Regions from separate parts of the Mus musculus genome. Here region 2 is reported to be linked to region 1. Evidence: microRNA targets listed by miRTarBase, many of them from high-throughput screens and not tested one by one. Region 1 holds a microRNA gene; the other region holds the end of a gene's coding sequence. Distances are from middle to middle.
Evidence for each region. Region 1 holds the annotated microRNA mmu-miR-695 (AGAUUGGGCAUAGGUGACUGAA, at 1,200-1,221, shown strand). A microRNA usually pairs through its seed, bases 2 to 8, with sites in the 3' UTR of a target mRNA and lowers its output. Matches are read on the target gene's strand: a 7mer-m8 pairs with bases 2 to 8, a 7mer-A1 pairs with bases 2 to 7 and ends in A, and an 8mer does both.

Region 1 (3,228 bases):
AACTTTAGAAACCTTACTCCAGTGAAATCACACCATAAAAGACAACCACCTCCCACAAGTGTTCTCCAGCATCCACACACAATAAATAAATTAATATTTAAAAATTAGTTGATGACAGCAAGTGATATGAGAACATAGGCATTAAAGTTTGAGGCTAAAGTTAGATGTGGTGACTCACACCTACAATCCCAGCCCTTGAAAGGCTGTTCACCATGAATCTGAGTACATGCTGGGCTAAAGAAAAGATCCCGTTTCAAAATCAAATAATAAGCAAAGTGTAAGGCTACACAAAGCAGACTTCTAGGATGCTGATGTGTTTGAGCTAGGTGCTGGCTATCCATGTGTATGTATGTGTGTATATATGTATGTGTGCATATATGTATGTGTGTATATATGTATGTGTGTATATATGTATGTATGTATGTATGTATATATGTATGTAGGTTCTGTTTTGTTTAAAGACTTAAACTTGATCTAGACAGATGGTTCAGGGGATAAGAGCACTCAATGTGCAAACATGAAGATCTGAATCTAAATTCCCAGCACCCCTGTCAAAAGACCCAAAATAACCATTGCCTGAGATGCCTGTAACTCCAGCATTGGGAGGATTGTAGGAGTGGAGACCGGCAGAAACCCCCGGGGGTGGGGGCATACAGCCCAATTGAAATAGCTTCAAGTTCAAGTAGACCCCATCTTAGGAAATAAAGGGTAGAGTAATACAGAAAGACACCAGACATCCTCCTTTGGCTTCTGAACACACACCACAAGCACACACAACCCCCGCCCATACACACACAAGTAATAATGACAATAAATAAATAAATAAATAAATAAATAAATCAAACTGTAGCCCCAACCTAACCCACATCTTTTTCTGCTCTGAATATTTCACAACCTCGGGTATTTCTTGATCCTTTGCAACCTTAAAGTCCTCTTTTTTCTAATCTTTTCCCAAACCTGGTCCTTCATTCATTCATTCCGGAAAAGGGAAGGCAGTTTACTCAGGGTCAGACACTAAGGAAGTGACTATAGAAACTTGTTCGTCTCCTCTACTGTCCTGTGGCTCCTTCAGCTCAATCTCTGTCTTCTTGGAGGCGATAGTATGCAATAGGGTTTAATACACACACACACACACACACACACACACATACATACATATATTTAAAAAGCAAACTAAGAAAAACTTCACGAGGAATCCTAGATTGGGCATAGGTGACTGAAGTACACAGCTGCCTTTCTTACAAAGGCACTGGTTACCTTGGTCCTGGTCACCGGCTCGGCTATCTGCTACTCGGTGGAACACCCCCAGCAATCTCACTGTCAAAAGCTAACACTTCACAAGTCCCAATGCACACATCACCCTCGGATATCCATCCTTCCGCGGATCCCGCCGCCTGACTCGGGATACTGGGACACGCCCCCTCGGATACCCATCCCTAGGGTAGTGGGGCTCACACTCCACATCTCCTCCACACCCCATCCTCCACACCAAAGCTCCGCCCTCAGCTCGAAAAGAACCCCCAGACGCGGGTCAGTCTCCACAGAACCGTGCGCTTGTGTCCACCTCCTCCACCTCCAATTCAATTCACAGGCTGGCAGAGCGCCGACCGCCCTACTCTAGTCAGTGGCCTCACCTCTCTTCCAAGAGCTCAGTGGGGACACCACCTCCACCCTCTCGGAAATGAACTCGGCCAAACTGGAGCGAAACAAGGCCGCCCTCACGGTCACGGCCACCACAAGCACCAGGGCCAAGGGAGCCGCCATGATAACTGAGGCGGGCGCGCAGGCAATGCGGAAGAGCCTCAAGACTTGCGCGCCACACTGTAGTACCTCCGTGGAACGAGTGCCGTGGCTGTTGCTGGAGCACACAGACTTTAGGACTACCATTCCCAGAAAGCCCTGCGGCGAGTCGACGGAAAGTGGGATGTGTCAAACTTTTTGCAAAGGTTTGGACTACGCCTCTGATCAAGCAAGAGAAGTGAAGAAATATTGTACCTATTTTACTGAGATCGTGAGCAAAATTTAAAGAAATAATTTCACTCGTGTGAATATTTTAATGTTAAAATGTTTACCTTTATATTTTTAAAAAGTGCGACACTCGTATTTACTGAGCGCCAACCATCCTCAAGGCACTATATTGTGTGGCGAGGAAACACTTTGGAGTGGTTAATTATTAGCTTTGCGACCTTCAGCAAGTTATTTAACCGAGGGAGTCAGAGCAGGAACTCAAGGCAGGAGCTTGAGGCTAAAACCGCGGAAGAACCCTGCTTTTATAGACTTTCTCTTCTGCTCATGCTCAAACAGCTTTCATGCACAACACCAGCACACCTGCCCAGGGATGCTTCCTCCTCCGACAATGAACTGGGCCCTCTCACATCAATCAATTTTTCAAAATCAAGACAATTTCTCACAGACCAATCTGATGGAAGGCAATTTTTCAACTGAGGTTTCCTCTTCCAAAATGACCTTAGATTGTGTGAAGTTGAGAATAATAACCAGGACATGTACTGCAGCAAATTCTGTGTAGGATGCAGTTTTGCTTTTCTCAGTTCAGGTTGGTAGCTTGAAATCCCTCCAGGTGGGAGTGTGTACAGCTCAGAGATAAGCAAACATAACAAGTCAGGGGTTTGGAGAGCCCGTTGATAAGCGCCAACAGAGCCCGTTGATAAGCGCCAACAGTCGTTATGTATGAAAAGTGCTACATGGGTGCTTTAAAATTAGCTATAATAATTAATTATGCAAGAAATTTTTATATCCATGAAGAAAATGGAACAGTGCATCGATTGTATGACCATGGTTAACAAAAAGTATTGAATACTTCAAAATAGGGAGTAGAGGTTTTTGATTTTTCCTAGCACAGTAATGTTTGAAGTCATATGTCAGTTACCCTATGATTACTTGTATACTGTATTGGGTTATCATACTGTACCCCAGTTAAAAAGGAAAAACTATATTTTTAGAAAAATAAAATAAAATAAAATAAAATGCATAATTGAGAATATCCATGGGGAAGGGAGGAATGCTGGTGACAGAACAGGGTGACATTTTAGATGAGAACGGCAGGATGCCTTCTCATGGTTTCCAAGCAGAGGGGACAGCCTCGGAGTCAGGAAACAACAAATATAAATGAGAATCAGGAAAGACAGCCGGAGAGAAGGCTCAGCCCTCAAAGGCTAGGCTCACAACCAAAAGGATAAGAGGATCAGCGAAAAACTGAGTGTGGGCCAA
Region 2 (3,228 bases), 25 Mb from region 1:
TTTGGCAGCCTCACAGAGTTGCTATATATCTGAAAAGCTAAGGGAGGCCTAGACTGCACTGTTTGGAACCATGTGTCAAAGAGCAAGGCCCTCAAGGCCCTCTGTGAGAATTTGAGTTTCTTGGTTGTAGAATATAAGAGCCTCTAATTAGGTAAGGGCAGCCTGTCTGTGGTCCTGTTTCACTGTGTCTCCCCATCCCACAGCGGCAGGTCAAGGGGCAGGAGGTATATTTTGATTCAAGAAAAGGTGAAAAAGCCCTTTGTTGTTCTCACCCGCGGTGCCCCCTGGATATGGTCTTGGTTAACTCCTCCTCCCCTCTTAACTAGAATGGCCCAAGGTCTCTGCAGTGATGTCCCTGGCCAGTGATACATGGTCCAGGCTAGGCATCTTAGTCTCTATTCCCACCACAGACAACTTTGAAGTCCCTGCACTCTAGACATCTAGACTCATTAGGCCTGGGCTTCCTCTCTAACAGGAGCCATAGGATTTTCAGTTAAGTTGTATTTTCTCCAGTCCATGTGGTTTTCTCTTTACTAGCCTCTTAAAGTGCTCTGGGACTCAAACAGCCTGGCCTTGGTGCTGAGTAGTTATCCTGCTCCTAATAAAAACAGTCACTGTGTGTGTGTGTTTGTATGTGTGTGTGTGTGTGTGTGTGTGTGTGTGTGTGTGTGTGTGTGTGTGTATTACGGCCAGATGTCCCAAAGCAAGTGTCTATGTCTTTGTTATATTCAGGTAGAAAATGAAATTCAGAAAAACTTATCAAGGCTGGGAATGTAGCTCACTTGGTAGAGCGCTTGCCTAAGATGCAGGAAACCTTGAGTTTGATCACTGGTACCAAATAAAGTAGGCACGGGAGCACATCGGTGTAACTCTAGCCCTTGGGAGGTAGGGGCAGGAGGGTCAAAAGTCAAGGTCATCCTCAGCTACACAGAGAATTTGGGGACAGTCTGAACTACGTGTGTGTGTGTGTGTGTGTGTGTGTGTGTGTGAGAGAGAGAGAGAGAGAGAGAGAGAGAGAGAGAGAGATTGAGAGAAGCAGATAGCAGATGAGGAATAGATCATTAATGGAGTAACATCCCTATGTCTGGCCTTGACACACAGCCGCACTGCAGGGGGAACTACAAAATGAAGCACTGGTTTGGGGTTTTAGGCACTGAAGCTATCTACCAGTATGAAGATGTCTACCAGGAACACAGAGTTCAAAACTCTGTCAGGCTTTGGCCAAAATGAACCATGGCTCAAGGTGCACGAGTGTTTAGAGGGCTTCAGAAGCAATGATTTTCAGGTTAGATTTAAACCAGATAAAGAGCTGGGAAGCAGCAGGGATTGGGTAGAGGTCAGCAGTGGATGAGGACTGAAGTCTGGGCCCCAGCTGGGGGCAGATCGGCTAACATGTCTGTCACTTGACTTGGTAACTGATACTCACAGCTTTGTTTGGAAGGCTCAGCGCTAGGTAAATGGCCAAACGCCAGGGGAGCCTGGGTGGTCCAAAGCCCTCTGGTGGAAGCAGCCTGCTTAATCAATCCTGCAAATCTCTGCGCTTTCCTTTTTCCATGAGCACAGCATTGCACAAGTTCCCTGGCACCAGGCTCCAGCCTCGAGCATTACACAGATCATACAGTCCAGTGTCTGCCTAGCTTGAGACACACACCTTGCACATCTCACCACACTGCCTATTCCGTGTCAACTGTTTTAGGGCTGGGATTCCATGAGTGACAGAGTTTCTGTAGAAGCCTAGAGAAATTTAATCTCTTAGCTTCTGAATCAAAAGGCCTTTTGAACTTATATGTTTTTAGAGCTCAAAACATCTTAACTGCTGTTTGGCCTTACCAAATACTTTTCATAAAATCAGGCATGGTGGCACAAGTTTTAATTCCAGTACCCTGGACATAGAGACAATAGGATCCGAAATTCAAAGTCACCTCAGCTAAATAGTTCAAAGCCATCCTGGGCTTCATGAGACCCTGTTTCAAAACAACAACAGCAGCAAAGTATTTTGCAAATAGATACTGACTTTTGATCATAACAAACCCATGAAAGCATTGGGGCTCACTTAACACCAAGGTTCAAAAGTAGTGAATCAGCCAAGATGTAGGAGGCTGAAACAGGACTTTGATTTTTTTTGTAACAGACCTGGAGATTCTTAAAAAAAAAATAAGAGTGTGTAGGGTGGAGTGTATGCTTATGCACAAAGCCTTGGGTCCACACACACACACACACACACACACACACACACACACTATCATGATTGGCCTCTTTCCCATTTCTGAGAGGTGAGTGAGGTGAGATCCCTAGCTATCGTCCTGGCAGTGAGACCCATTCCAGAGTGTGTGTTCCTCCTGGAAGTAGAAAGAGAGGATCCGGGACAAATCCAGACAAGTCCAGGGGTATGTAGGTGGAAATTCTCAGGAAGCCTGAAGCTGGTAGGGCTGAGGTGATGTGACTAAAAGATTCTGCCAGGAAGACCAAGTGATGTTACCACATCCATACGGGTGCTCTCAGTGGTTGGTCCAAGCTCTTGCTCCTGGCTAAACTGTCTGTCCTGTTCCTGACACCAATGTGGGTTTAAGGTAGATGCCCAGAAGCCAGACCCCCACTTGTATTTGTGATTGGGGGGGGGGGGGTCTGAGGTCTGTTGAAGTTCCACTGCCCCCCTCCCCACGGGGCTCAGGCCCTAGGCCAGGGCTCAACAGACACAAGCAGTAAGATGGGGTTGCCCTTCTATTGGTCCAAGTCCTGAGCGTAGCCTGGTTGAGTCATGGAGGTGAGCAGGCCCACGAGGCTCAGCAGTGTGGAAAAGAGCAGCAGGAAGGAGGCTGCGAAGAGCAGAGCAGGCAGGGCACTGAGCACAAGCAGCAGGATTGCTGGCAGCAGGTGGCTCCACATCACAGCCACCACGGGCCATAGCGAGCTCAGCAGGTAGGAGCCCGTGGTGAAGAGTGCGTGACATAGCATCAGTGCCAGCAGCAGGTAGAGTGTCCCCTCCAGACCCCACAGCATCCGCTGTAGTGGTTGCCGCCAGCCTGATGTATTCCACCACTGGGTCCAGCTCCGAGGTATGTGGCATACCCACCAGCGCACCCAGTCCTGACGGATGATCCAGGCTGACCAGGGCACTGCCCGCTGGGGCCCCTCGCCAGCCCCGATGATATCCGACTCCACTCGTGGCTGCTGCATCACGGCTGGTGCACCTGTGGACAGGGCCAGGCCAGCTGCAGGGGGCAGCCC

Region 2: the mRNA of Tmem239 is a reported target of mmu-miR-695. Seed matches in the 3' UTR shown: 8mer at 2,607-2,614 and 7mer-A1 at 2,246-2,252.

Annotation. Positions count from the first base shown.
Region 1 is chr2:155,355,632-155,358,859 of GRCm38, forward strand. It overlaps Mir695 (microRNA 695), which reads left to right and starts at 1,186; the gene lies at 1,186-1,294. It overlaps Pigu (phosphatidylinositol glycan anchor biosynthesis, class U), which reads right to left and starts at 1,793. Exons shown (of 12, transcript NM_001004721.1): 1 at 1,635-1,793. The coding sequence starts at 1,764.
Region 2 is chr2:130,406,673-130,409,900 of GRCm38, reverse strand. It overlaps Tmem239 (transmembrane 239), which reads right to left. Exons shown (of 2, transcript NM_025753.3): 2 at 2,107-3,191. The coding sequence starts at 3,177. The coding sequence ends at 2,722. Among named protein-coding and RNA genes, the nearest start is that of Tmem239, 1.8 kb to the right of the region's middle.